3 linked regions of the Schizosaccharomyces pombe genome follow. Each later gene encodes a partner of the first gene's protein in a complex. Each region holds a gene or a part of one and is shown in the gene's direction. Other genes may lie near its edges.

Region 1 (10,588 bases):
TGTTGGCAATGTGCTGGGTTGTCTATGTTGGTGAACTAAGTAGTATGACAACTTAAGGAAGCCAAACATTAAGGTTGAAGGGCTTAAAAAATCAATTTAATTGACTTGAATTTTTAAGGGAAAATTGATTTCTATTTAGCAATCAGTTCGATAGTCAAGAGGAAGGAGTTTTTGAAAACACCTAACTTGCATGATACCTGGCTAAATAGTGATGAAGGCTACTTGCGGTTGAGGAATTAGGCTTACTTTGGTGGCAGAGATTACGCTACAAACATTCATGAATAAAGTATAAAAACATAGATTTATATTCTAAATATTATAGAGTGGAAGAGGTTAAAATTTTATTGATTATGACAGATGTAACTCAATCAATGGTTGTTTAATAACGTTTGTACTGACGGGGCTTAAAAATAATATATGAATACCGATTCTACTGAAATAAACAAAGCAAATACAGAGGTGAATTGAAATTTACGAACGAGAACGAATATTTCGATGATCAAAGAATTTCTTTAACTTAACAAATATTCAAAGCGTTCAGTGTTCAAACAAAAACAAAAGAAAGAAATAACTTGTAAGGTTTATTTGTAATGGGAAACCTCTGCATATAAGAAAAGTGAGCATGAAATCTAGCAAATTTCAAGACGGTATTTACTTTACGAAAAAATCTTAGAGGGCGCCAAGTTCCTTTAATGTCTTAACCATTTCATCAACACTCTTTACCATTATGTTTTGTCTCTTTTGAACAGGCTCGGAGACTGAAACAGTCTGTAGTCTTTGATCAATTGTTACGCCTAGATCTTCGGGAGACATTTTGCCTAAAGGAGCCTTCCTTGCCTTCATAACTTTTGCCAAATTCGCGAATCTAGGAACATTAAGACGTAAATCGGTGGTAATAATGGCTGGAAGTGTACTACTTAAGGTTTCTTCACCGCCGTCAATTTCTCTTGTAACGATAACTTTGTCACCTTCAATACGGACTTTACTTGCGCTAGTGAATTGAGGCCATCCAAGCATAGCAGCCAGCATACCACCTGTTTGGTGTGCATCATCATCAATAGCTTGCTTGCCCAGCAAAACCAGATTACTTTTTTCCTTCTCGACTGTTGCCTTCAAAAGTTTGGCTACTGAAAGAGGTTCAAGTTCTTTTTCGCCAACATTTATAAGTGCTGCTCGGCCAATTCCTTTAGCAAGACACTGGCGAAGAATGGGCTCAGAAGAAGTTTGTCCTGCGGTCACTACTAAAGTGTCCTCAATTCTATTTTTCAAAGTTTCCTTCATCCTTATAGCCTCTTCTACAGCAATATCACAAAATGGATTAATCTTTTCACGATTAGTCAAATATAAATTGCGAATTACAGCAGTACTGAAATGATTACTCTCCTTTCAACATACACTCATTTTTTGCCCCGATAAATCAACAGCAGTCTTAGTGGCATTGATGCGAGGCTTTAACATATAGTCTAGAGTTCGCTTGACTCCTACTAAAATGCGAATTTTCGACATTTTTGCGATATTGCTATGCGGTGGTCAAAGACTGGAATTGAAGAAGGTAGAAAGTTGAATATGAAACCTTCATACATATTCCATATTATTTATTAATGTTGTTAATTTTATACTTTTTAAAAAAAATAGTTTTTATTATTTAAATATTGCACAATTTCCGAGTTTAACTAGTTAGGAAGTTTTTTAATTTTAAGTAAGAGGAAATAATGTCTATCAAAATTTACATATTCCAAACAATTCCAACTTCAAGAGAAATCATGATTGCTAAAAAAAAGTAAAATTTGCTTTAACTATCAGATTGCTATATGCAATCTCACACTTCAAAAAAGTACAAAATAATTCTAGTTTTTTTGAGTGCAATCTTTTCAAATTTAAAAAATTTTCTTACTTTTCTCACGTAAGGAAATTCACTTAGTTGATTCGTTTATAAGCGATGAGTGCAACATTTTCTAAAGTCGTTTCTTCACCAACGTAGTATACGAGAGAAGATTCATAACCCATTTTTTCGCATTCTAATTTTCTCATGTAATTGATAATATGCTTGCACTTCAACCCAATTTTTACGCGTTCCTCATGAGAAAGACCACTGATGTGTGAGTCGGCTCCTCCAGAAGCATGCATATGCTCACGCAAACTGTTTACAGCCCACCCAGTCATCTGTCGTAATATTTGAAACTCTTGTGGATTTGAAATTCCCCAATGACTTAATTGTTCTCTAGCAAAGGTTGAAAGTGTTCTCCATCGGCAATGATGATGACAACAAAGGGCAATTACAAGAGCATTAGGAGGGGAGGACTTTAAGCAATTCAAGGTAAGGTCTGTGGCAGCACCACATAAATGCTTAGAATATGCAAATACAGGTTTACCACTATTCCGAAATTCACTAGCAAAAAAATCGAGTTTCAAATCCTTAATATCAATTTTACACCTTATAATTTTTGGCTCAGGCCAGTTATTTTTGATGCTATCTTTTAATATCCTGCTATCATGCTTCGTTCGATTTGAATCACGATCAATAAGTATATATACGTTTTCTTGTTGGGAGCAGTGCTGAACATATCTTGATAACTCGGCTCTTCCAGCACCGAATTCGTAATATATAGATCCTTGGTTGTCAAAATAATGTAGTTTTTCCATATGTCCTAACAATGATGCCTAAAATGGTTAATGCTTTTGACTGCCGTTAAGAAATCATGTCGAACATACCTGCTGAATTGCATGCTTTTTTTTTGTACCCTCTTCACTGTTAAAAATGAAGTTAGTTTCTACTTTTGCAACCATCTTCTTAATAAAAAGCTAATGAGAAAGCACTTCGTACATACAGTCTTGCATTCATTGCCGGGTGAAACAACACCTTTTTTTGAGGAGTCGGTAAAGAATCACTAATTCTGTTGAACAAACAAATCCATTTTGACAACTCTTCCTTGCTTAAATCGACGATTTCAAAGGAGGAAGATTCTGAAGCATCTGTTGAAGTAGAGATATTTATGTCCTTCTTGTAATATGGATCGGTCCTTTCAACAGGACGCGCGTTACAACGCTTCAAATGATATTCTAAACGATGTCGCACAATTGTATGCTTGTGATCATATGGACAGGGGATTTGTTTTAATTCTTCCTGAGTAAAAATTTTTTTTATTCGTGCCATCAAGTTAGATAACTTTTTAACTCTTAAGTGATATTAGCCTGAATATTGATCACAAAAGTAAATCTTAAAATACAATAATTTTATTTTTCTTGTAAAATTTGGTCTTTTTCAGTCCTTCGGATAATTTACAACACTAATGAAAAATAGCTTTCCGATTCGGCAGTTCAGACACTTCAAAATAAAGTATTTTCGCGTTTTTCTCTTTATTACAGTTGTTTCCAACCCAGTCCCAAACTTTCTACTACTTTTATAGTTTTCTGTACCAGATGTGCGATTTTACGAAGAAATCTGATGTTTCCAACCATTGGCGTGCTCATAAAAAAAATTCAAATACGGAATCATGAAACATTTATATAAATTGATCATGCGTTCTAAAAAAGTAGTTTAAGCTTGACCTTGAAGAACGCAACTACTTTTTAAAAACCTCTGTTTTATACAACATTCCGGGAAAAGACAATATCCTAAGTATCACTTCCTTAAATATACCAAAGCAAAGAAATAATTAATTACAAAAGAGCAAACTGTGTTGACATTTGTGAAAAAAGTGTATATGACATATACACCGATTTTGAAATATTGATATATTGATTTTACTCTGAATTTCTTATCAGTAGCTTAACTATTTAATTCTGAGTAAAAAATAGGAGTCTAAGTAAAGTTCTTTTGATTTCAAACCCTTCTTTGTAGGAATCGTCGACATTCGTCCTTCTCAGAGCCATATTCTATCCCTAAGGGTATTAAGGAGTCAAATAGACGATAACCGCCAGTATCAGTACTGATATCGTCAAATAGTCATGAGTTCTATCCTTGGTAAAAGGAAAAATGAAGAAGTCGTATCTTTTAGCCCTTTGAAACGAATTTCTGTTGAGAAATCGCTTTTGGATAGCACTGCCTATAATAATTCATTGGATTGGCTCAGATCTAAAAATTTCAAGGTCTCGTGTCTACTTAAACATTTTAATTCTAAAATTATCAACGGTACGAAGCTTTTATTTCTTCACTGTGCGCATTACTAGGTAACTAACATCTCTATTCAATTTAGACCATCCTTTAAGTGGATCATGCTACACAGACATCGGTTATGCATTAATTAATTCCCGAAAAGCTTGCTTTATTTTGTCGTATCGTCAAAGCTTGGGAACAGCAGAACCTCCAACTATAACATTTCCGCTACCTGAAGAGGACTCAAATGGCTTTTCCGGGCAAAATGCCTTGACAGCCTTCGTCCCTTCTGATGCTTCTGACAAAGAACCTGGATTGCTGATTGTAATGCCTATCTCTGGTCGTATAGCATATTGGACTTCAATTGGGAATGCTCTCGCTCAATCTTATATATGTCCCCAGGGAATGGAAAGTTTGATAAAGTTACTCCCCAAAGAAAAATGTGAGCATTTATGTTGCTCAAACCCCATGAAGTTCATCATATCTACCAATTTTGGTCGTCTTTTTTCTGTTCAACTGCGCGATCCTGCAGGTCAACCTGACGTTTCTGTACAATTATTTGCTTCCGATATTAGTACTTTTTCTACTATTCTTCAGAAAATGAAGATTTTTAACTACCCTAGCATTCATATCATTGCTTTAAAATCCCCACCACTGTTCTCTCCATACCAACATCTTTTGTATGTCGCTGAGGCATCTGGTTTACTAGAGATATATGATTTGAAGTTGGAAAATAAGCTTGTTTCTGGTATGAATCTGTCTCCTATTTTTAAGCAGGTTTTGAGAGAAGGATGCCCCGATGCAAGCGGACTTGAGGTGTTAGACCTTACTATATGCCCCACAAACGGAAATCTAGTGAGTTTTTTAGTATGTTGGAAAAATTCTATTAATTACCGTTACATGATTATTTCTCTTGATTTTTCTGACATTTCCTCACCCTCGGTAATGAATATTCATCCATTGTATTCATTTTCTTCTAAATCTCTTGAGTCTTCAAAGCTACATTATTCATCATCAGGGAATTCTTTATTTGTGGTTTTAACAGACGCTGTTATTATAGTGCACGTCCAAGAGGATGATAAAGATATTGTATCGAGAACATCATGGGAAGAGGTTATTCGTATGAATACTAATGTCTCTGGCGGCATATTTATGTCTACTTGCTACAAATACGTTTTAGGAAAATACTCTATTCCTACGGAATCATGTTTTATAGCAACCCCTTATTCTGGTATCGCTGAAATAGAAGTTCATAGTTTGGAGCATCCTGCAAATAACGAATCTCTCGTAAAAAGCAAGTTGGAAGAAGCTGTTTTTTACTCCTTCCTTCCTGGTAATCCGATCGATTTTTCCTGCAATTACCTTCGCTCCATCAAAAAGCCTGAACTCGAAAGGATTATTGTCGATCTTGGAATGGACATCTTGAATTCAAGGTCTACTCATTTACCCCCATTATTTGCTTCTTTAATGCAGCATCTGTCCTGTAGGTTAAATTCTTTGAATAATCTTGTCCGGTATATTAGGTCTATGTCACTGGATGTTGATCGTCAAGTACTATACAAGTTGAGAGTAATGGGCGAAAAATGCAATTCTGTTAGATATTTATGGAATACTATCGATACTGAATTTAGTACTGTTAGTCATTCCCTAATTTTTCAACGCATAATTTATAGACTCACTCAAAGTGCTTCGTCGGATAACGCTTTGAGAGAGTGGTTTTTGCATAATATTGAAAGCATTGATCAACTGATAGCGCAAGCACATGAATTTTGCATAGATTCAGGTTCTCGAGTTCAAGAACTTCCATTGGAAGTTCTTGATGTAATTATGGAAGCTAATGAAGTAATTCTGGCAATTCAATCTTCGGCTTTGGCTTATCGCCGTGAGTCCCAGAAGATTTATAAGCTAAGTATTGATACCTTTGGAGAAGAGGTTCCTTGGACGTCAACGCCAGAAACTTTAGTTTTGCTGTGTCGACAGTTTGAACTTACTCGGTCAGCGCTTGTCCAGTCACATCAAGGAACCTCGGATGTGGAGAATACTTTTAAAATAAAGGATAAAGGGGTGCTAAGAAATGTCGTTTCAAATTTAGAAGTACAATTAGTGGCCTTGACAGAGGTTTGCTTTGACGCGTACTCAGAAAGGATTAGATGGATAGAACAACGTTGTGGTAAGGATGCTAGTGAAATTCAAGATGTCAAGGAAGCTTTTGCAGTTAATCGCAGATTTTGGGTTCAAACTTTATCAGATATAGGTAAAGGCAGCAGTGCCATTCGAATCGCTGAAAAATACTCAGACTATCGTTCTTTAGTAGAATTGTGCTATCAACTTTATGAGGACAATGAGCTCACGGATGCACTAAACAATTACCTTGATCTTTTTGGTATAAAATTCGCATTTATATTATATGACTATTTTGTTGAAAATGGCATGGCATTAGAGTTGCTTAATAGCGACAGGTTCAACAAATCTTATTTGAAACAATTTTTTAAATCTCGAGATTACAACCAGATTTCATGGATGCATGATATGAGGTTAGGAGACTACGATGCTGCGTCGCATAGATTGCTACAGTTGGCTACTAAACAAGAAAAGCTGGTTGATAAAAAGGAATCTGAGCTTTCATTAAGTAAATTATTTCTTTATGCAGTTCCATCCAACTCTGGAAATATCAGAGATTTGGTTTTAGTGGAACAAAAGCTTGAGCAACTACATATTCAAAAAATGGTTTCCAAAAGTGTTATGCCAGTCGTTGAACGGCTTCGTTCTCAGGGGAAAAAATACCAGCTTGTAGAAGCTGTTGTGGATGATTTGATTGGTGCCAAGGTAGCGCCTGTTATCGCTCGTCAGGTTATGCAGCGCGTAGTCAAAAAGTTCATTGCCGGACAGGTGGTTGAAGCAACTGAACTGTTGGAGTACCTCAGCTTTTCTTTATACCGTCGAGAGGACCTTGTAGAAGGTGAAGTTACCGACTATTATCTTGCTTTGCGTCTTCTTTTAACCACCAGATTAACGGACGATGCCAAGAGATTTTATGAAAATACCATTTGGAGACGAGCTGTTTTACATGACAACTGGATCCAAGTTTTGGATACCCAGGGTAAAAACGATGCAATTATAGAAACCCAATTCCGAATGTCAGCACTATATCGGACTCTAGAGGCTGTGACCATAAACGGACTTTTTCATGAAGGACTTATCCGACCTGGTTCGCTTTCTTCTTGTAAGTTTGAAGGATATGATCCTCAAAATCTCATTTCTATTTACCCACCCGCTCGCTTTGGAGATGTGACTGAAGTTACCAAAGTACTTAATCGTGAAAGCGTAAAGTTGGATCATTATCTTACAAAAACTAATTTAAATACTTGCTATATTAGTATGTGTTTAAGTTGCGATACGATTTAACCTTTATCTTAATCATACAAACCCATTAGATAATAAAAGAATTTTGGTTAGATAGGTTTCATCCGAGTCCCTTGATCATTGTCAATTTTGTTAGCTAATGAATCTAAAATAAAATTTTGTTTACCACTAACTCAAACTAGAAAGTATACCATTATATCTATTTTCAGCTTTCCAACCTTATACTACGCTAGCTTGGTATATCGGTGGAAAACCCAGTACTGCTTACTTGTCCACTACCAAGTACAGTGTTGGCTGCCTCGGATTCCTCTGAGGTTGTCAACTGTAAACGAAATAATTGAACTGTCACTTTCTTTGTGTTTTTCATGGAATCTTTGTGGATTTTAGCGGCATCTACTTCATTTTTCTACCCGTAACCATCTTTAACTTTCGAGTGCGAAAGACATCAACATTTAACAAACCGGAACGCTCTTTTAATCAAAAACATTTTAAAGAAAACTGCATTTAACATAGTGGAATATTTAAAAGACCATCATGTCAACTACTTCGTCTCACTCCAACGTCGTTGGTGTTCATTACCGCGTTGGTAAAAAGATTGGAGAAGGATCTTTTGGCATGTTATTTCAAGGTGTAAATTTAATCAATAATCAGCCAATTGCCCTAAAATTTGTATGTAATTATTTTTAGAGAGCAATCCAGATTCTCAATTTCAGTACTAACGTTGCATTCTCACAGGAGTCCAGAAAAAGCGAGGTTCCTCAACTTCGTGATGAATACCTTACTTATAAGCTACTAATGGGTTTGCGTAAGTATTCACTATGGTTGCTATACTGATTTTCGTCAATTTCCTAACATTTATCCCTAGCTGGAATTCCGAGCGTGTATTATTACGGTCAAGAAGGCATGTACAACCTTTTGGTCATGGATCTTCTAGGACCTAGTTTAGAGGACCTTTTTGATTATTGTGGCAGACGTTTTAGTCCTAAAACCGTTGCCATGATTGCAAAACAAATGGTAAGTTTGTAAACGTCTATCCGATTGTTGTCGGATTGGCTTTATGTGATTACATTTTAACAGGGTTAATCAGATCACCCGTATTCAATCTGTTCATGAGAGACATTTTATTTATCGTGACATTAAACCAGATAATTTTTTAATCGGGTTCCCTGGAAGCAAAACCGAAAACGTTATCTATGCCGTCGATTTTGGCATGGCTAAGCAATATCGAGATCCAAAAACTCATGTTCATAGACCGTATAATGAACATAAGAGTCTATCTGGTACTGCACGTTATATGTCTATCAACACACATCTTGGTCGTGAGCAATCACGAAGAGATGATTTAGAATCCATGGGACACGTTTTCATGTATTTCCTTCGAGGTAGTCTTCCCTGGCAAGGGTTGAAAGCTGCTACAAATAAGCAAAAATACGAAAAAATTGGTGAAAAGAAACAAGTCACTCCTTTGAAAGAGCTATGCGAAGGATATCCAAAGGAATTTTTACAGTACATGATTTATGCTCGGAATTTGGGTTACGAAGAAGCTCCAGATTATGACTACCTACGAAGTCTGTTCGACAGTTTACTGCTTCGCATCAATGAAACTGATGACGGAAAGTATGATTGGACTCTCCTAAATAACGGAAAAGGATGGCAATACAGTGCAGCTAAGCAACATGTCGTCCAACGTCGACATACTCAGGGTACTAATAACAGGCGGCAGTCAACTATTCCTCCATATGCTCGTACTCGCCAGAATTTGCTCTCTAGCCCAAGTAAGCAAACTCCAGTCAATAACGTGGTTGATGCCAGTGTTGCGACGCAGAAAGATGGTATACCAGGGAAAGCGGCTTCTCCCCAAGTTCAACAACAACAGCAAACTTCTTCCGCTCAACAGCAGCAACCGCAACGGGTGGAGCAACCTGCTCCTCAGACTACCCAGCCTACACAGGTAGACACTCAACAAGCTGCTAAGCCTGCGCCCTCGAAAGAGAAATCACGAAAGAAGTTCCATCTTCGCTTACTGTCTTGCTGCATATCGAAACAAGAATAGTCATGATTATTCAACGTCTTTCCTTCTTGTCTTTCACTGTTATGTCGATACTTTTTTTATTTTTTTCCCATTATTAAATATCCGCTTACAATTTGCAACATAATACGTCCATACGATTCCTTCTTTAAATTAATTCTTCCGGAATCGTAATGTGACGTTAATCCCGGCTGCTTAAATTACATTGCTTACTGTTGTTCAAAAAAAAAATGCTCACTAGATGAGATTCTGTGTTTGTTGGCATTCTTTTTGATTTTGAAATTTTTGAACGTGTTGAGGATGAAGATTTTGATTCTAATTAGTACTAATTGTTGTCCTACCTTATATACATAGATTCATATTATTACTCCAATGCATTATGCATCATATGCAATTGAAGAGCGTAGAAGCATGTTCCTTGTCGTTGCATTTTACTTTTGAATCATTTGCAGCTGTCATACTTTTTCATTGTAAGTTATATCGATATATACATAAATAGTCAGAAGCTTCACTGAGCTACCAAATGTTGACTCATAAGGTAAAAGATGTTTGAGAAGAACATGCTCCAATTACTTTGGGTGAAGTATAGTGAATATTTAATTTATCTTATCATGCTAGAAAGTTATAGTCAGTAAACGTGGATAATGTACTTTACTTTATTCTAACTGCCATGAAGTATTGAGACAAATCTATCAAATTATATAAATTAAATATTAAATTTTTAACATGTCCGTTCATCGCTTGCAAAAGGAGTCAATAGGATATCACGATAATTTGGCAACCTACGGTTGTCTAAGATAAAATCTTGTTCTACACACGAATTTAAAGTATTTTAAAAGAAAGAAAAACAATTTCTTTCGTAAATAACTGCTACAGATTATAAACGAAAATTTTTAATAAACAAGAACCGGTAATCGCAGATTCGAAAAACAATTTCATAAGTGAAACTCTAGACCATTAAAGAATATAAACAAAATAATTTTTCAATCATGATAATTTTGAAGATGATTGATTTCGCATTATTTTTTGTTTAATATTCTAGCCATTCCAATAATTCAGGAGTAAAGTAAGTCAAAACTATGTTAGCGCCAGCACGCATA
Region 2 (10,565 bases), on another chromosome or scaffold:
TGGCAGGACGAATAACTCTTCCATTCAATTGAAAACCCTTGCTTTCGCAATGGAAGACAGTGTTGGGCTTTTTACCTTCAACAGGGATTTGGAAAACAGCTTCATGGATGTTAGGATCAAAATCTTCTCCGATACCGTCATAGCGAACTAAACCATATTTTCCTAAGGTTTTCATTAAGTTCGATTCAGTCATTGCTAAACCTTCATAAAGATCAACTAAATCCTTGTTGGACTCACGATTGTTACGCTTCTCCTCTGGAACAATTGAAAGAGCACGCTCCAAATTATCGACAGAATCCAAAAGATCCTTAGTAAGCTTTTGAACAGCAAATGCACGTGTTTGCTCCATGTCTCTCTTCATGCGGTTTTCCAAATTACGATAGTCAGCTAAGCTTTGGCGAATGCTACCCTTTAACTCCGCAACCTCTTTGTCCTTTGCTTCATATTTACTTTTAAGCTCAGAAAGCTTAGATTGAAGTTCCTTAACATCAACATTCTCTGTTTCGGCAACTTTTTCTTCAGCAGGCTTTTCTTCCTTAGCAGCCTCAGTTGAGTACCAAAGGAAACTGCGTTTATTAATGGGTGCTCGAATAAGCGTCCGAGGACGTACAGCGGATGAAAATACTCTTCCAAGCCCAAGCATTGTTTCAGTGAGAGCTTTGTGGTAAAAGACAACTGTGTCACACTATAGACAAATGGTGTTGTGAACTTAGCACTGTTAAATTTTACAAATATCAATTTCATCAACTTAAAAATTCGTTATGTTTCGTTAAATGAGGTATGGACTTTGAGATGGAAGCTGATTCAAAAAATATATAAATGACACTTTTTTCTCAAATTAAAGCTTCTATTTCGATATGTAACAAATTGATTGTAGGTTTGAACATGCATGTAGGAAAGCAACCCAAATTTCGAATTTGCTCAACACTGGAAGCCAACAACGGCTCATATGCTTATCAATTATTAATTTATTCTTTTCAGCTTCATTCTCAACAGATAATAATTAACTGATTTCTCATCTATATTTATATCCTTCTTGGTATGCTTTACGGCATTGGATTATATCGAAGTACTTACTTCGCAGCCTTTGAAAGTAAAATAATTGAATATTATAATTTAAGTTTTAAAATAATCCTATTTGTGTCATCTGGGCCATCTTATTATTTTTACATTCATCAGTTTATTTGCATAATGATATTTGTTGAACAATTTATGGGAGTCGAATTTTCACAAATTCCTATTATAATAATATCATATTCTTAATTACAGAAGTCTTCATAATAAAAGGTACCTTAGTTAAGTGTCAGATATGTCTTATCGGTATTGGACCTTACACTTTCATCCACCATCACTACTTAAACTCAGGAATACATTTGAGGATTGTAGAGGCAGAGCCATAGCTTTCTGTTAAATATTTATCTAAGCTTTGTGAAAATTTACGATTCAACCACTGAACACTTTTAATCGCCTACTAGTCCAGAAGTTGCGCTTTCAAGTAGCACCATACTCTCCTATTTTCCTGCTTGGACGTTTACCTAGATTTTCTAAATACTTATCTCTCTAAATCATGTCTTCACAATCATATCGAGAACGGACACTTGTTTCTGTAATTGGAGACGATGATACCGTTACTGGGATGCTTTTAGCTGGAACTGGTCAGGTAAATGAAAACGGTGACAAAAACTTTTTTATAATTACTCAGAGTAAGATTATCTGTTAAAAAATGGAATCGTGTTTTCGCTAACTTGCTGTTTTATGTAGAGACTACAGATGAGCAGATTGCTGAAGCTTTTGATGATTATACTACGAAAAGGAAGGATATTGCGATTGTATTGATTAACCAGTTTGCCGCTGAAAGAATACGTGATCGTATTGAAAACCATGTGCAGGCATTCCCTGCTGTATTGGAAATTCCTAGCAAAGACGATCCTTATGATCCTGAAAAGGACAGTATCCTCCGTCGTGTTAGAAAGATCATTGGAGAATAGACTATTAATATTTAATTATATTTTTTGAGCAATAATTTCAATTAGTCAACAACTCGATCGATTTGACTGATGACACTTTTATATTTGTATCTTTTGGTTTACTTACTGGCATACTAGCAAAAAATTGTAAGCAGAGTTTTTGTTAAACTATATTTGATAAATAGAAAAGTGATTATAAGAGAAATGTATTATTTTAAGTATAAATCTCATTCAACATCAAAACTGACATTACAACCACAAGAAGTCTTGGCACGTGGATTGTTTAAAAGTTGAAAAGAGGAACCAATAAGTTCATTTGTATACTCAATTTCAGAGCCACTTATCAAAGGTAATGAAATGTTGTCAGCAACAACCCTGGCTTTTCCACGCACAAATACCCTAGATATTTAGTCAATAACCAGGAAATACTTAATTAAAACTTATAGTCTTCTTAACCACATCACTTACGTGTCAGCATTTCCAATTTTGTTGTCCATGCGAAAAGATACTTGATATCCATGGCATCCACCACCATCGACAGTGACGCGCAAAACAGAGTTTTCTTCTGGTTTCCTTTCTGCAATTTTTTCTAACTGTTTTTTCGCTGAATCTTTCACGTATAAAATAAAAGGGATTCCCTTCTCGTCACATTGCTCTTGAAGCGTGAATTGGTCGTTCGCAAGCTTTGAGCTATAAAATCGATTTTTGATTTTGAATTCATTATTTATTTTGGGAAATATTTCTTTCGTTAATGTATTCGATTTCGCATCAATTCTACATGATCGAGAATTTCTAAGCGATCCATGCGATAGCTGTCGAATTGCGATCACAGGATTTAAGAGTGTTTGAAAACAACGTTCTCGAAAGAAAAATGGTCCTTTAAACAATAAGTTTACTCGCGATTTCATAAGCATCACTGCAAAGTATTATAGCCACAAGTTAGGACTTTCTAACTTGTAAACATACAGTAACGTAATAGAAGTCAAATTGCCTACGCTCTGTTTCGTTAATTCAGTATATTCCAAATTGGTGCTTATGTTTATGAGATAGAGAAGTTAAGTACATAAATGAAATAGTCATAACTTGACGAGTGTGTCATAGACTAAAGTCAAATTCAGGGATTTACCTATTAGTTAACACCCAATCTCTAAGAGATTTATATCGGATAGATTGAATTCGAACTTACAAAACTCTCACACCCATAGCTAGTAGAGAATAAGGGGAATTTATCAAATATATCTAGAATTATTTAATGTTCTTTTTTACTTATGTTGTATGCTACTAAATTTTGTGATGATTTATAGTCAAAATTAATATCTTTGGATTATTTTTACCTTTTGGTACTCCTACTCCTTTAATTCTCTTTCAGTTTTAAATGAATAGATTTTTAGCTATTAGAGATAATTTCAACCCATTTGGTTAATTCTTCTTCTGGATATTTATTGTCGATCCTTTAATTCTAGCATAGACCGGTGGATCACATCCAGAAAATGTCTTTATCACAATTGATGCCATTGCTACAATCTTCTACTTTAGCTAATTCTTTATCGTGATACCAGTGTATGTACTACCGCTTAATTACTATAAAGTTGCGGGTGTTCGTACAAGCACATATCACCGCAATTGTAATATTGAATCAGGTATAAGAGATCTTGGCTATTAGACTTAGAATTGGTTGTATCTGCAATAAAAAAAATAAATTATAAATTGCATGCCAATGAACAATAATTCACCCTTGCACGTAATTAATATTTATTAAAATGTAATTTACAATTTAACGTATGGTTGAAAATATTACATGTTTTATTTACTAAGAATTTGCAAAATTTAAAAATAAACAAAACTAGAAAATTAGAAAACTATTTTATTAAAAAAGATTGAAAGGCTGTAAATTAAGACCCTAAAGATGAGTACTGTTAATTTAAATAGATTTAATCTCTTAAAACAACAGCTAAAAAGTTACAGGTATACAAAAAATAATAAAAAAAACTAACAATAATCTAAGAAAGGCTTCTGATATCTTGAAGATCTTTTACTGTTGTATGTAATTTCACAAATAAAATAGAGAATCCATTTAAGCTCTTGAGTTTTAAATGAATATTTGATTCCTTTTTTATTATTATGAATACAAAGGAATTGCTCGATTAATAAAAACTATCAAATTGTTTAGCTTTCTTCATCCACAATCAAATGATTCTATTTTATTAAGGAACTTAATCTTCAAGAAGAAAATTCAGTTTTACATTCCATCTCCCTCTACCCTAAAAAGCTAAAGAATTACAAATATACTCGTATTTACGCGTTTCTCATAAATTCGTTGTAGGACTGGCCTGTCTTACGCTAACTCGTGTAGGTCGTTGTCTACGATACTCAACCAGAACTGCCCCCTATTGTTAGCTATTTGTTTGGTATTTCTACTGGTATTACCGCTACCAGTAAAAAATAAAATCAAAATATGAATGAATTAAAGCATGCGGTAGTTCCGATAGACTTACAATCTTTTTGTCTGGAAGGAACTTTGGCGTTGTGGGTTCCAGCTCTCGAAAACGACTCGGAAGACGATTCTGAAGCTATAGAAACAGCTGATGATAATGAAAAACTTTTTAAAAAGGAATGTGTAGCATATGATGCAGGTGTTTATACCTCAAATAAAAGCAAAGGTTCACAAACTTTACGATGGAGTATATTCCAAAACAGAACACTCACTATCTTTGATGTTTCATTAAATTCTAAGAAGGAGCCTTTATCAAAATTTAATGTGAAAATTCATTTTCCATCCAACGTAATGAAGGACGGTGTAGCTTTCTCGTTCAGTGAGCATTCCGACACGACCATTATATATGCTATTACTCACGCTCGCGTTTTGTATTATATTAGATTATCTAAAACTTGGTTCCAATTACCGGACGCTCGCTTAGACGACGATTGGTGTCTTTGTTACCGACCAATATCCTTTCTGAATCAAAAACCCGATTTAATGGCCGCAATTAGCACGTCTGAAATTTGTGTAAGCTTTTTCAATGGAGGTTTAACAAAGATTATATTAAATCCAAAAGACGCTAGTCACTACGAACAGCATATTGATGATTCTAGTTATTTGTTTTCCCTAAAAAAATATCTATCACTTCAGGCATTTAAGGCAGATTACCGCTCTCCTAATACTATTATTTCAATGATTTTTTTGTCTACCTATAATGTTCTTGTGATGCTATCGCTTGACTATAAGTTAAAAGTTTTGGATTTGTCTACTAATCAATGCGTCGAAACCATTGAACTGTCACAGACTATACTTCCTCTACAATCCTTTCCTTATTTAACTTCAGATCACACCACTAATTCTTTCATCGCTCTGTATTACCCAGATAATTCTCATGGCTCTTTTTCAATTTACAAACTTAACGCAAACGCCCACTCTTTTAAATTAAATGTTGTCATCGAGAAGGGCATAATTCCTCCTTCTTTACCAGACGATGAGTTCATACCATGGATGCTTTCTGATTTTCAACTGATATCGTCAGAGGGCTCTCAATCTAAATTTTTGCTCATTATTGCTTGGAAAAGCAACTTAAATACCGTTATCCAAAAATGCAACCTTAGTCTAGATCAGGACGAGAGTTTTTCATGCGTTTGGAGTCACTCTTTGGATAGCTTTTCCCTCATAGAAAAAACCTTTTTTGACGTTCCAACAAACATGTCGTCTGGGGATATCTCAGAGATTTGGCTACAACACATTTTTGCACATAATACATCTATTGAGTCTATACAAGTTGCTCTTTTAAGCTTTCAAAACAGCTCCTCGCAAGTTTCAAAAAATAAACTGGATAAATTTGGCGCACTTACTATAAGTGAACTTAAAAATGCCGTTTTGTCGTCTATAGTTTCAACGATCCAAATAGAGCCAAATTCAGATTTAACTGGATACGATTATTATGAATATAAGCGGCTATTATATAATGAATGGGAAAGGTTTGCGAAACTTGTTGCATATCTGGATCATTTTGGAGATGAAATATTAAGTATTAACTTCGATCCTTCGAACGCTGTTACATATATCAATTATGCAAATAAAGTGGCTTTTATTAGGGATCCTTATCTCATTGAATCCTTTGACGAAGAGCCGTTGACCAAATTAATTAGTTCCCTTGAAACAGATGATCCTTCTCTAATTGAAGGTTATCAAATTCTGGATCTTGGTAGGAGTTTACATTCCTGTATGTCATTTTCTACTTTATCTGAAATTAGATACTCATTACGAGAACTAGTCCAGGATTTGCCATCTTATTCTTTATTTGATACATTGTGGGTATTTTATGACAAGCACATATATCCCAACGTCGATCCAGATTATATCAGTACTTTAATTGATACTCTAGTTTCTCTTGAAAACCCGATGCGCGACATTGATTCTCTTATCCAACGCTTAAGAAGTTTCGATATTTACAACCATTCCGCTCAATCCCCTTCCTTATTTTTGTGTGCATCGGTAGCACGGGTTTTGGACAGTATTTTGAAAAAGTTTCAAGTCTCTATTGAAGGATTTATTTTTCTACTTTCTTTGATAACTAGCCAGCAGGATTATGAGTTACAATCCAAATTTGCAGGATGTGATAAATTATTTCTTTCTTTACTAGAAGATTGGCGTCTTGTGAGTTTTCTTTTAGAGAATTCTGCACTTTTGCTAGAAAAATTTGAGGAGGAGGATGTTGATTCAACAAACTGTAATTTAAATACTATGGAAGCTTTAGCAAGTGTTAACACAGCCCTTCAGTTTTTTTCCGCTTTGAATTATTCCGAATGTTTCTCAGAAAGCCAAATTTCACCTTTACATGCTACCGTGATATCGTCTTTGTCGGCAATCTTTATAAGGGACGATACGGAAAATGATCTGGTCACTGAACTTGTAGAAAAGTTGTTTCTATTCAAACAATATAATGCATGTATGCAATTAATAGGGTGGCTTAACTCTGACCCAATTGCAGTCTACTTGAAAGCACTTATTTATCTCAAATCGAAAGAAGCTGTTAAGGCTGTCCGATGTTTCAAGACTACTTCTCTAGTCCTTTACTCACATACTTCTCAATTCGCAGTTTTACGGGAGTTTCAAGAAATTGCTGAAAAATACCACCATCAGAACCTATTATCGTGTTATTACCTTCATCTATCAAAAAAGCTGTTCGAGGAGAGTGCATATATAGATGCATTAGAATTTTCTTTATTAGCAGATGCCTCGAAAGAGACTGACGACGAAGATTTGTCTATTGCAATTACCCATGAGACTTTAAAAACCGCTTGTGCAGCAGGAAAGTTTGACGCTGCTCACGTTGCATTGATGGTTTTATCCACTACGCCTTTGAAAAAGTCATGTTTACTAGACTTTGTAAATCAATTAACGAAACAAGGTAAAATAAATCAGCTTCTAAATTATTCAATGCCAACGTTAAGACAGGACGTCGACAATTTGCTTGAGCGAAAGGCCTTTCAAATGATTAACGTTGAATCACAACCATGCTGGTATAATATTTTGTTTAGTTGGCGGTATAAACATCAAAACTATCGAGACGCAGCAGCAATTATTTATGAAAAACTGAGCCGGTATATCTCTACTACAGAATTAATTGGAAAAAAGGAGAGAACTTTTATAATAGAACATTATTTGATTGTTTTGAACACTCTGGAGTTGCTTCCGAAAGAAGATACATGGATTCTTGTGACAGACATGTCCGTGGACAAGGAACCTGACCCTAACTTTCTTCCACAAAAATTACTTACTCTAGATGCAATTGTAGCAGAATATCACTTACAGTTGAAGGATGTCGCTGTTCAAGTTACAGCTGAAATGTCATCGGCCATGAATATCGATTTATAAAGGCAACAAAGAATTATTTACGCAGCTTAACCTTCTCATTTAGAAAAATCCAGAAAAAAAGCAATATGCTTGGCAGAGTTTTAGTAATTAAATCATCTTTAGTTTCATTGAGGCGATGGGTAGCCATAAATAACTAACTTCTTTCTATAAAATTAAATTCTGAATATAAATATACTTTCGATAGCATTGGTATTTACATATCTTTAACGAATTATAATTCCGACCTTTTTGCTGCAGCTTGCCGCAGTTTGCTAATTAGTGTTGTCCGTTGGGAAATATTGTTGAGATACGGCTAGTATCGGCAGAATGTTGGAACCAACAATAATTATATATTTGAATTTTTATTTCCTTATTTTATAACATTTTTTTGAAACTTTTGGTTTCAGATTAAATAATTCTCTATTAATAATAGTGTACGGAAATTGCACGCCGTGTGCCCGAATTTAAATTTGTCGGGTCCCGAAGGAATGTACAAAACACCAAGACCTGCGAAAACTGATTCTCAGTGAATTGGGTATATCGGTCTTGTAAAGATCTAATTAATGAACGTTTACCAATGTTATTGAACTGAAAATATCGTTATGAGGATTTTTACTCTTGGAAAAGGCCGAATTTCACGAGGGTATGCTCGGCAAGTTAACCCTTCATTATTTGCCAAGTACAGCTACTGTATTGCCAATAATCCTTGGTATTTCATTCTTGTGTTTACTCTTTTATCAATCACAGGTATATATTCGTCGTTGGTAGCGTATCAGCAATCCCTTTACGATCAATCATTAGCTAGATGGTCGGCTTGGTATGCCGAGAGCATCAATGCTGAAGCAAATGTTATTACGAAACAACTCTATCTTTTAGGAACGAACACATCAGTGTTTTCCGAAGACTATCTTTCAAACGCGTATCGTTGGGAAACAAGCTTCCATCAATATTTGGCGGAATACGGGTATCCTTGCATAAGAGATGAAAAATCCTGTGTAACTATTTCTCCAATACCAAAATATTATGGTAAGGTTGATCCTGTAGCTCAATATTCATATACTAAAGGGCTTCCTGAAAATGAGCGTGAAGTGAACAAGCTTAGGAATGATACAATAGCCGAAGGTTTTGACTCGCTTAGTGCTTTTGTGATTACTTACTTTTTAAAGCCTGAACAAGTCGATACTTTTCATGTTGTTTTAAAGAAATTTATTTCCGAAACTCCTAATCTATATGCAAGTTTACTTGATACATCCCCTACCACTGTCGTAGCACGTATTCCTGACCTTACTGTTATTTACAGATGGTACCTATGGGTTGGGTTTGGAGTCGGACTTTTTGCATATTTGTATTTGTCACTTGTGCGGTTGCATGATATTCGTGCTAAATTTGGTCTTACAGCGACTATATTTATTCAAAGCGGTACTGCCTACTTCTCTACCTGTTCTTTGCTGTATTTCTTTGAAAGAACGGGCCCCATATGTCCATGGCCTATGGCTTACTATATTATCATATTTATGGACATTGAAAACTCGTAAGTTTTTTTGCTATACTTCGTCATTATGTGAACGTTTTATTACTAACTTATCAGATTTCGACTTTTACGCGCAGTAATCGCTTCTCCTCAGACGAAGCGTGTTCCTTCTCGTATAATGGAAGGGTTTTCTAGTACTATTATTGCCTCCTTTTCATCCTTACTTAAGAAGTTATTGACTCTTTTTGTCTTGAGCTTCTTTGTTTATCCTCTGGTGCAGGAGTTTTGTTTGTTTCTTGCCTGTTCTTTCGTCGTTAGTTTTTTACTGCATGGAAGTTTTTTTCTAGCGGTCCTAAGTGTCGATATACGTCGTTTGGAGTTGCAAGATTTTTTAGATTCAAACTCTTCTAATCGAAACTCAAAATGGTGGGTTCCGTATCTAGAATACGTAAGATTCATGTGGTCTCCATGGATTATCGATAATCTTGGTACTGTTTCATTTCATATGTACGTTATTTATTTACAACTCCAATCCAGTACAGATATCAATGGGTCTTGGAGATTAGCATCTCCTAACATTCGCTTTCTCATTACGTTATATCATCGTTTAGGCCGTATTTTACGAGAACGAAAGTTATTTCCACTGATTACGACCGGTTGGTTTGGTGACCCCACTTTTTTAGAAGCATTAAAAGAGAAGACGATGGCGGAAAACCTTGTTATTGCTTTGTATCGACCAGTTATTCTTGACACTGTTAACCGTCGTGATTACACTAATGTCTACAACTCGTTTCATGACCGGAGAGTATGGAGATGGTCAACATTTTTCAGCATACTGTTCGCAATTGATTTTGCGGTTGGGTTGCTTGTTAAAGCACTTTTGCGAGGCTGGTCTGACCATGACGAGCTTTCAACCGATACAACATTACATGAGGAAAAATTCAGAATAGAACCCGTTCCTGTTCATCATCAGCTTGACATTTTAAAAATTGCTGTATCTGAAAACTATAAGACGTTTGCCTCCGTCGGGTTAGATAGGTGTCTTGTAGTTTGGGATTTACGTCAATGGTGTACAAAGCTTGTACTTTCAAAAGAACAAATGCCCAGGACGTTAAAAGCAATAGCTTTAGATCCTCAGGGAAACTACGTTTCGTTGTTCTCAAAGGATACTTTATTCATTCTGAATGTAGAATCTCCTTGCTTGATGCTTCAACATTCCTATCACTGTAAGCCAAATAGCAAATTAAACGTGTTCTGGATGCCGGGTACGCATAAAGATGAT
Region 3 (10,686 bases), on another chromosome or scaffold:
ATTTCCATTTGATAGTTAAATACTTGAAGTGTTTTATGTTTTATTTGCTTTTAAACTGTTAAATTGATTGGGAATATTGTGAAGTAAACTACTGGCCGGCTGTTAAGTGTTAAAGAAAACTGTGCTTGCCATTATTACATTGCTTGTCAATATATGGACATGACTGTTTCAAACCAAAAAGCAGAAAGTGATGATGGTTCAGACATCGACGATGCGGCCTTGTTACAAAAAATTAATTCTTTACCGATTGACCAGAGTATCACAAATTCGGTGAGCTTGGAAAAGCATGATTTTCAAGGAAGTGATGACCATGACTCCTCTACGGATCTTTCCGATAGTACTTTGGAAGATGTGGAAGGAAGTGAATGGGCAGACGTATGGATTGAAAAGTTTTTTTTTAATACTTTTTACTAATAAAATTTAGGTGAGCAGGGGTAGATACTTCGGGTCAGATCCCTCAGAAAGTATAGTTTGCCATAATTGTAAAGGGAATGGTCACATATCTAAAGATTGTCCTCATGTTCTGGTATGCATTTTGATCGGACATTGTTTTTTTAATAGTGTTACTAACTGTATTACAGTGTACGACTTGTGGAGCAATTGATGATCATATTTCCGTAAGATGCCCCTGGACTAAGAAGTGCATGAATTGTGGACTACTGGGTCATATAGCTGCGCGATGTTCGGAGCCGCGAAAAAGAGGACCTAGAGTTTGTCGGACTTGTCATACCGATACTCATACTAGTTCGACGTGTCCTTTAATTTGGAGGTATTATGTCGAAAAAGAACATCCTGTTCGCATTGATGTTTCTGAGGTTCGAAAGTTTTGTTATAATTGTGCATCTGATGAACATTTTGGAGACGACTGTACTCTTCCATCTAGATCAAATTATCCTGAAAGCACTGCATTTTGTGAAGCGAACTGTCCTTCTGGAAATGATGCATCTAACAAGGAGTTTTTTGAAACCCGTCGTAAAGAGTTTCAATTGGAGAGGCGAGAGCAGAATCGAAATCAAAAATCGTCGAAACAACGGCCTTTTCACAAACCAGGAAATTCTCTAGCATCTAGGCTGGGATCTAAGCCAAAAAGCTTTAAAAGAAAACATAGCCCACCTTCTGAGGAGAATGGCAATTTATCCTTTCATTCTTCAGATGGAAGAAAATTTACCAAAACTTCAAAAAAAAATCGTAAACGAAAATGGTAATTCATGTGCTGGTATTATTCATCGCATGGTGTATCGCTCTGCTCACATTGCATTGCACTCATTGATAATACTATCTTACTAAAATTTATTGGCAAAATCTAAAATATATGTACATTAATTTTATACACTCTCATTTGCTATGTTCGCAAAATTTGTAATGTTATTGACCTCCATCATCAAAATTAAATACAAGCTATGATAACGGAGTAAACCATAGTTAGAAAGCAAAACAAAAAAAAACAACCAAAATCGAAGATAACAAGGCAAAACAAACAAATTTGCTTTAGGGTAAATAATGACAAACCGCCCACCAGAGTCTAAAAGAATGTGACACGATAATTAACGCAAGTTTAAATAAGTGTTACATCTGACTCTTACAAAATAGCTGTTTTTAAATTAATCAAAAAAATTTATGAAAGGCTTTCATGCAAAATAAATTGGTGAAGAGCCTTACCACCAGGGACAAATGGATACACATGTTCCTTTTGGGCAACCAAAACTTCCATAAGCACAGGACCTTTAGTTGACAAAAACTCCTTCATTTTTTTAGCCAAATCTTCTCTCTTTTCTACACGTAGTGCTTTGATGCCCATAGCGTCAGCCAACTTAACGAAGTTGGGATTCTTTTGATGAGTATGAGAATAGCGTTTCTCATAAAACAAGTTTTGCCATTGAGTGACCATGCCTTGCTCTTCATTATTTAGGATAAGAATTTTAACTGGGATATCAAATTGACGGACGGTAGCAAGTTCCATACCAGTCATTGAAAATGAAGCATCACCATCAATATCTATAACAATATCTTTAGGTGCAGCAACGCTAGCACCTATGGCAGCTGGGAGACCAAATCCCATAGTACCGAGACCACCGGAGGTTACCAAAGAACTAGGTTTTGTCCAACGATAGAATGTAGCGGCCCACATTTGATGTGCACCGACACCGGTGGTAATAGTGACTTTGTCCTTTATGTCAGAAGTTTGTTTGTCAAGTTCTTGAATGACTTCTTGAGGCTTTACCAATTCACCAGGAGCGCTACGAGTGAAAGTGAAAGGGAAGCGTTCCTTCCATGTTTGAATTTGAGATAACCAGTCAAATCGGGAAGGAATTTTAATATTTTTAGTAGCAGAATCTAAAAGCTTTAGAGATTCGTATACATCGCCCTCTATTGCTTCAGTAGGTTGTACGACCTTACCGATATTTTTGGGTGAAATATCAAAGTGAATAATACCGCCACGCTCTTCGGCAGCAGCAAGACGTGCTTGAGGAGCAAACAAACTTACGTTACCGGTGACACGGTCGTCAAAGCGAACACCAAGAGCAAGGATAAGATCGGCTTCCTGCATGGCCATATTAGCGTATCCACTACCATGCATACCGAGCATATGCAAACTAAGGTCAGAACGTTCATCTACAGCACCAAGTCCAAGCAAAGAAGTAGTAACAGGAATTTGCAGCCTTTCGCTAAACTTGCGTAACAAAGTGGGGCATTCGGGATTAGCTAAAACACCATGCCCACAGAAAATCACAGGCTTCTTGGCTAATTTTAGTAAATTGGCAACACGATCGATCTTGGCAGTAACGTTCTTGGAGCCCTCTTCTAAGACTTCCTTCATTCTGCGATTCATTGATGGTACAGAAGACAGTATAGGAATGGGCTCCTTCAAAACGCTAGCAGTGACATCTTTGGGAAGGTCAACCAATACAGGGCCAGGGCGTCCAGAAGTAGCTATCTCAAAAGCTTCGTCTATACGACGGGGAAGATCAGCAACATCTTTGACCATTACATTCCATTTAGTACATGAACGAGAAATACCAACCATGTCAGCTTCTTGAAATGCATCACTACCAATTGCGCTGGTTGCTACTTGACCAGAGAATACAACTAGGGGAGTACCGTCGGCCAATGCATCAGCAATCGGGGTAATCACATTCGTAGCACCGGGTCCAGAAGTAACCAATACAACGCCGGGTTTTTTAGTAACGCGGGAATAAGCTTGGGCTGCATGTCCAGCAGCTTGCTCGTGTCTTGGCAAGATAAATTCAAAATGAGGAGATCTATAAATTGCATCGAAGACAGGCAAGATAGCACCACCTGGATAACCAAATACATGCTTAACATTATGCTTGAGCATCATATCATGGAAAATTTCACCCCCAGTCTTTCCAACAAACGAGCTGTCATATTTTATAGGACTAGCCGTAGTCACTGTAGAGGTGCTTTTGGTCGAATTTGCCCGAACGACACCGAATGCATTTTTTAATTTTTTAATTCTCAAATTATTACTAAAGCCGGTGCCATACCTCCGCACAGCTGAGCAACTATTTAAATTTAAAAATCTCTTTTGAAGGGCAATTTCTCGTCCATAAGACGAGAAAGCCGCCCTCGTATGCAATCTTCTAAGGGGAGCCAGCACAGTCATTATAAATAACTTTTAACCCTCAATTCCTTTCTAGAAAGAGCTATCTTTCAAGTTGCAAAAGATCGGTATGCTGAGCGGTATGAGAAGTGAGCAGGTTCATTTTTGCCTAAAAACATTGGTTGTTCACCACCACAAAAAAGATCAGATTTGTTAACGATAAGTACTGTACCCCGGAGATTAAATATACCGATGCATAATACTATACCCTTTGAAGTCGTGTTATTATTCTTTAAAAAGTTCAGATGATGTAGGAATACAATTTATCTATTTATCCATGTCTCCTTAATTTTTTAAACATTAGTAAATGCTGGAAAACGTCAAATAAATTTTTCTTGATCCTAAATTATAAGTTTCCTATCGATTCAGCTTAGAAAATCGTCAGAATTATCTTTGAGCATAATCTGTTTAACACGTAAGAGATCTTAGATACTTTCGCTTTTTTAAACATTAGTGAGCCTCTTATTAGAGGAATTGCAATGTTTATTGTACATCGACGGTTTTTTCAAAATGAAAAAGCTTTTACGCCTGCAGGAAAACATGAAAAAGTTGCCGACGGAAACAAACATGAGACATTAGCTACTTCAGAATACCCGAAAGTCTGTGCATCAAATGACTTGTACAAAATACTCCAAATATCTGCTCCTAAGGTTGGCAATTTTACAATCCATGATGCGCCAGTTGTTGGACTAATTGACTCTATTTTGGAATATTATTTGTATATTAGTGTCAAAGTTCGAAAGGCATGGATTGCTGGTTATGGAAGTCAGCCCCAAAACTTAATATGCTTTGATTGGGAACGTTTTACGGGTATTCTAGATCAGCAGAGTCTAAATAGCCCACCGTTAGCTGGATTTGTTAAGCCAGATCCAACATCAGCAGAGCCTGGCTTTTTACTTTTGTGGCCTGCTTCGGGCGACCTTTTCTACTGGGAAAGAACTTCTTTGATGAACGTTGAGGTTTCTGCTCCCGAATTTCCTGGTTTTCTTCATTACAGGATTCAACTAAAACGATATGAAAGCTGTAAAAATTTGGTTAGTGCTGAGCCTGCTGGCTTTTTCCTTACTCTGAGTTCAGGTCGGTTGCTTCATCTGAATTTAAAAGATAGCGATGGCAATTCCTCTATTCAGGTTCGAATCCTATTTCCTGGATTGCACATCCCCAACTGCTTGCTGTCGTTATACAACAGTATCTTTGCATTTACTTCAGGAAGAGTTATTCCAATACGTTGTGGTTCAATAAAAGGACCTGGTGAGAGATTAGTTTATTCTATGCATTCTGGAAGCACATTGCGAATTTGGGAAATATTCGGGACTGGTGATCACCACTTGTTACGTGGTTTTGACATTTATGATATAATTTTAGATAGTATTCAGGAATCCTTTTCCTACGTAAATCGATTTCTAATCCTTGATTTTTCTGTTTCAACCTCGGATCCTTATACGTTAGCTTGTTTGGTTTCCTGGCGTGATAATGCTTCATTATTCAATTATGCTGCAATCATTATTTCTTTCAACCATCAGATGATACCTCATGTTTCACAATTCTGCCATGTACGCTCATATCTTTCTGCAATTCTTCCATCAGTGTGTCGAATATTTTTACCAAGTCCAGGTACAGTTGTTTTTTGCGTCTTCGATGTCACTTTTGCTATGTTTCATAAAGTGCGAGGGAAAGAAGGCACTTTTTATGTCGAAGAAAACCTGGTTGTGAACAACCTAACTTCCAAATCTCGGGTTTTGGATTTTGGCATGGAAGATGCGATATATGAAAAATCTACGCACACCTTACTAAAAACTCCAGCATTGATCTTGTTAACAGAAGGGCATGGTATAATCCGAATTGAATCTTCTGCTAGCTACCTGAAAACCAGCTTTAGTGCAACCACCTATTTACGAAGTCGTCTCTCCCAGTTTGCATCGCAAAGCCCTTTGTTCCGTGTAAGTTGTTAATTCTTTCGTATCTAACATATAGGAACAATTTTTGTTAAATTTTGACTTTACATACAACCTCTCTGAAAGCGAAGTCTATAATACAGTCTTTAATCTTTGTGATGAACTTTATACGAGTAAGATAATTTTTTCATGATATATTACTAATTGCAATCAGCGCCATGTAAAAAAAATATGTCTGTATTAGAAACACTACATTCTCAGCAACGTGACTTGATGGAAATAGTTCTTGTTGCCTTCAAATACCTACATTTATCTCCTTCTAATAGACTTCAATTATGGCTAAAAGTTGCCTATTGCAGTGCTTTGGCAGACCTATATGAATTATTGATGTGTAATGAAAAAATGTCTAACTTGCTTCGACGAGTATTGAAAATAATGTCTTCAAATGATAATATTGATGAACTTTTTTTGAAAAAGTGCCTGAATATAAATTTGTTATTACAGCATTTAAGCTCGGAATATTCTCAAATATCTGGCCAAGATGCTAGCAACGCACAAAAAAGAATTGAAGTAATAGTAAATGTTAATAACGTTTATGGGGTATGTTTCTTATAAAATAACGAGGTTTACTAATATTAGACTATCTTTGGAAATGAGCTTGCTTATAGGCAAGAAAAAATATCAAAATTTACTGATCCATCCTCTGTGATTAGAAGCGACCTTTGGACAGTTGAAGTTGATCACTTAGATTTACTACGAAAACAGATCGAAGATTCGATATCATTGCATCGCGATGTACGTGACTCGAAAGATGCACACATATTAAAAGTCAGTAACAAGCTTCGGAAGCAGATTTTGCATCTGGTGGAACAAAATTGCCTTTTGATCTTTGATTTGCACAATGGAACAGATGATACCATAGTAAAATCGCATAATTTTCAAAAATTTGAAGAAGAATTTGGCAATTCACGAAAAGAATGGTTACAATATTTAGGTAAGCTGTTTCTCACTTTCTTGTTTCCGCTAACAAAGAAGCTTCTGTCGGATATTTGGAAAAGGCAATCGACTTGGCGGAAAAAGTTAAAGACTTTCAGACAATGGTAATTTTGCTGGATTGTCTAGATCCAAAGGATCCTACCATTAAGCTTCAAAAGCAAAAAGCATGCTTAAATAAATACAAAGAAGAATTCGCAGATGTAATTTTTTTTTATTTGGTTGATACAGAGCAGTATGCGTCTTTGCTTCATGATTTCTTGGAGTATCAATCACTTTTAATATCTTTTTTTGAAGCCAATGATTTATTGAATCTTTTGTGGATATTTGAAGCTCAAAATGGAAATTATGGACGAGCCTCCGAAATTCTTTTCCGTGATTGTGAACCAGAAGAAAACAGGATTATCGGTAAAATTTCGCAGTTAGCTCTAGCAAAGCTCTACTCATGGACTAATAGAATTGAAGGTGAAAATATCATATTGTCAAATGAGACTGAGGTGATTGAAAATCATTTAGCCATTTTGCTTATTCAAGAGCAATATGCTGAAATGCTTTCATCACTTGTGGATATTACAGAAGACGAGGGAGAAGCTGTCGAAGCAATAGTAACTTCCAATTGTGTAAATCTATCAGAAAACTCTATCAGAGCCTGGCTCGTGTCTAGTGCTGTTGAGCGATTAATTCAAAACGAATACACTACGCTTTGTGAGATGGTAGATTTCTTTTCTTCTTTTTCATTACGGGAATGTTCATTCAAAGAAGTTGATTTGGCCTTAGAGTTATTAGAAAGAGCTACAATCACTAAGGACGTGTATTTTTACTTAAAAGATCTCGTATATCGCCGTTTTCTATTACAGGTGAACTGGGCAGAAATCATCGATGCGCATGAAGATTTAGAATCTTCATTTTTTCCAATGGTAAAGGAAATTATGTTAGAATCAGACTTTTTAATATGGTTACAACATATGGAACACAATATTCACGACGAAAGTAAACATTACTTGAAATCGGAAAAAAATTTTTTGCAAAGTGTATATTCTTCACTTTCTGAGTCGCAAGTGGAAGATTATCAAATGGAGCTTTTTCGTGAAAAGCAAATTTTCTCAGTACTATGTAAAGATAGAGAGTTATACATTCTGATTCCGAAACTTCTGGACGTAGCAACAAAACAATGAAATGAAATTTTGCTATATATTACTTTACATTTCCTCAGTAATCGATAAACACCTGTTTAAACCTAGTACTACTTATGTTTGTATAATCTATCGTATAGCCTCAGCTCCGACAACTCCGTTTTTACGATGGTAGATGCTAGATAATCACTGGTTAGAATATTTACGGCTTAAAATAATTAAATTTTTTTATTATAGATTCTTGATTTATTATGATGATTGCGCCTTCGGGGCTTTTTCCCTGTCCTGGATAGCCTCACCCTTACGTTGGAAATTAAGCTAAGGCCTAGTGTGTTGCATCCAAGTACACCTTACAACTAACGTCCACTAAAACACTCAAACCACATAATCATTTGTTAGTCGAAAGAAAGCCTGTAACTTCTATTAAATTATAGTAATTGGTTTTCTAAATTTTGTTGTTTTTGGTCGGCTACTGAATCGCAATTGGACTTCAATCTCTGTGGTGAATGCAGTGAAAACAAACTGAGATTTGTGTGGCATTTGTTAGTGAGGCTACAAATTGACTACATAAAAACTGCATAGTCCTTGCAATAAAAAAAATTTTATCTGTTCGGTCAATTCCTTGTGACAGGGTTATTTATCATGAATTCCCAAACGAGCGTAGTAGGGGTTCACTATCGCGTGGGTCGTAAAATAGGTGAGGGATCGTTTGGTGTTATTTTCGATGGGATGAATCTTTTGAATAACCAACTTATTGCTATAAAATTTGTATGTTCTTTGTTAGGATGAGTATATGGACAATACTAACAATGGACGTTAGGAACCCAAAAAGTCGGAGGCACCTCAGCTCCGTGATGAATACAGAACTTATAAATTACTAGTTGGAAATGGTATGTTTTTATTTTGCTACCCAAAACATATGGTCAAGACTTTGGTACTAACCGTATTTGCAAATAGCTGGCATTCCTAATGTTTACTATTTCGGGCAGGAAGGACTACATAATATCCTTGTTATTGATTTACTGGGACCTAGTTTAGAGGACCTATTTGAATGGTGCGGTCGTCGATTCAGTGTCAAAACGGTGGCTATGACGGCGAAACAGATGGTAAGTTTCCTAAGTTGTTCCTATAAGGTTTTCAATTTGTTTAAATTTTCTCTGACATTTCAAAGCTTTCCAGAGTTCAGACGATTCATGAAAAAAACCTTGTTTATAGAGACATCAAACCCGATAATTTCCTAATAGGCCGACCTTCCTCTCGAAATGCAAACATGGTATATATGGTTGATTTTGGTATGGCCAAATATTACCGTGATCCCAAAACCAAGCAACATATACCATATAGTGAACGTAAAAGCCTCTCGGGGACTGCGAGATATATGAGTATAAACACGCATCTTGGACGTGAACAATCCCGTCGCGATGACTTAGAATCGTTGGGACACGTCTTTATGTATTTTTTGAGGGGAAGTTTACCTTGGCAAGGATTGAAAGCTGCCAACAATAAGCACAAATACGAAAAGATTAGTGAAAAGAAGCAATCTACCTCCATTAGTGAGCTTTGTGCTGGATTTCCTAATGAATTCAGTAAATACATGACTTATGTGCGTTCGTTAGAATTTGATGAAGAACCGGATTATGCGTTTTTACAAGAGTTATTTGATGATGTACTTCGAGCAAATGGTGATACGAATGATGGGGTTTATGATTGGATGTTATTGAATGACGGTAAAGGTTGGGAGTCAAGCTCTTCTCATTTTTCTGTTGTTGCTATGAAGCGACGAAAGAATTACCTTGGCTTAAATGTTGTTCAAAATGATGATTCCAGAAAAAAGAACAGTACTTTGCAAACACAGAACATGCGATTTAAATCCTCATATGGGGTGAGAGGTCCTAGAAATTACTCATCGTTCGATGCGTTGCCGAGCAAAAACGCTCCATTGGTGCGTCAAGAACAGTCTGCTTCTAAAAAAACAATTTATGCTCATTCTTCTAGAGGTTACGATAGGGTTCGACCTATGTATGTATCTCAGCCCTCGAATAATGCAGTCGGAGTAAATCATCCTAACGATAATTCTGATTCGGAAGCAAAAGGAGGATTTTTTGATATGATATGCTGTCGTTGCTTTTCTTAGTTTCGAAGCTTCAACTATTGTTAGAGTCACTCACTTTCTTAACTTAAATAAGTGTTGTTCTACTATGCGGTAGATATGCTTTCACAATATCAATCATTTGATGATTTGGTTTTCAGAGTACGGGATAAATGGTTCATCTTTTTTTAATATTAATTTGAGAAACGCTGTATAGCGTCTTTGAGCGGGTGCTTAAATCAAATTCTTTAATTATTTCGATTGCAAATTTGCTGGCACTAGCCTACTTTGCTGGTTCTCGTTTAATCTTTTAATGTTGCTTTCCTTTAACATAACTCAATATTGTCTTAAAACTGACATTGTACTATTGTAGTAAATAATATATACATACACATATATAACCAAACCATATGTATTCTAGGTACTAACAATTGGTAAAATGACAACGGAAGCTAATTCGTTTTCAATTACAAATAAATAGAATAAAAGAAAGGAATTCTTTTTATACTGATTCGTGTAATATATTTTTTAGCTGGACATTCAAAAAATAAACTATACGTGTCTTAAAGTATTTGAACTGGACAAATGCCATATGATTTATTGGAAACTAGGTAATTTCTTTTGAGTAATGGTAAATCCCTTTTTAGTAAAGGAAACAATCAGCAACAAATAAAGAAAAAATTTTGACTTATTGGGTTATAATTACTGCAGCGTATACCTAATATGCTGTATACGACCTCTTCAAAAACTAACGCTAAAATCTGTCAAACCATAGTATGTAATTTTTATTTTTTTTTCTCTATGGCGTAGATATAATTTCGTATCAAGACTGTAGACTTGAAGTTTTAACCCAAGTTTTATCAGGTGTTAAATAGATCTCCCTTTTCTAACTTCTTAGTGCGTGCACATGCATGTGCATGTGTGTTAAACGATTTGAGTCTAAAATTGACAAGA

The links.
Region 2: nup132 (region 1) and nup120 share a complex: the UniProt entries of both Schizosaccharomyces pombe proteins name them as parts of the npc107-120 complex.
Region 3: nup132 (region 1) and nup131 share a complex: the UniProt entries of both Schizosaccharomyces pombe proteins name them as parts of the npc107-120 complex.

The regions. Positions count from the first base shown.
Region 1 is NC_003424.3:2,773,423-2,784,010, forward strand, and holds nup132 (nucleoporin, WD repeat Nup132), read left to right. Parts: upstream 1-3,865; 5' UTR 3,866-3,948; coding exon 3,949-4,132; exon of another isoform or gene 4,133-4,188; intron 4,189-4,196; coding exon 4,197-7,501; 3' UTR 7,502-7,631; downstream 7,632-10,588. Other genes in the region: etf2 (electron transfer flavoprotein alpha subunit), read right to left, coding at 670-1,323, 1,396-1,506; tRNA 2'-O-methyltransferase Trm13, read right to left, coding at 1,918-2,661, 2,713-2,749, 2,829-3,154; serine/threonine protein kinase (CK1 family) Cki3, read left to right, coding at 7,994-8,128, 8,195-8,264, 8,325-8,473, 8,547-9,512; porphobilinogen synthase Hem2, read right to left, coding at 10,519-10,588. UniProt on the Schizosaccharomyces pombe protein: Functions as a component of the nuclear pore complex (NPC).
Region 2 is NC_003423.3:4,012,625-4,023,189, reverse strand, and holds nup120 (nucleoporin, WD repeat Nup120), read left to right. Parts: upstream 1-4,339; 5' UTR 4,340-4,422; coding exon 4,423-7,833; 3' UTR 7,834-7,964; downstream 7,965-10,565. Other genes in the region: GrpE domain-containing chaperone mge1, read right to left, coding at 1-643; vma7 (V-type ATPase V1 subunit F), read left to right, coding at 1,568-1,703, 1,762-1,988; Fe-sulfur protein Isa2, read right to left, coding at 2,195-2,366, 2,436-2,881; Sre1 cleavage-activating protein Scap Scp1, read left to right, coding at 8,415-9,343, 9,401-10,565. UniProt on the Schizosaccharomyces pombe protein: Functions as a component of the nuclear pore complex (NPC).
Region 3 is NC_003423.3:970,048-980,733, reverse strand, and holds nup131 (nucleoporin, WD repeat Nup131), read left to right. Parts: upstream 1-3,887; 5' UTR 3,888-4,101; coding exon 4,102-5,562; intron 5,563-5,596; coding exon 5,597-5,690; intron 5,691-5,731; coding exon 5,732-6,117; exon of another isoform or gene 6,118-6,156; coding exon 6,157-6,511; exon of another isoform or gene 6,512-6,552; coding exon 6,553-7,685; 3' UTR 7,686-7,712; downstream 7,713-10,686. Other genes in the region: TRAMP complex zinc knuckle subunit Air1, read left to right, coding at 154-375, 425-526, 582-1,205; ilv1 (acetolactate synthase catalytic subunit), read right to left, coding at 1,616-3,625; serine/threonine protein kinase (CK1 family) Cki2, read left to right, coding at 8,286-8,411, 8,464-8,533, 8,601-8,749, 8,815-9,777. UniProt on the Schizosaccharomyces pombe protein: Functions as a component of the nuclear pore complex (NPC).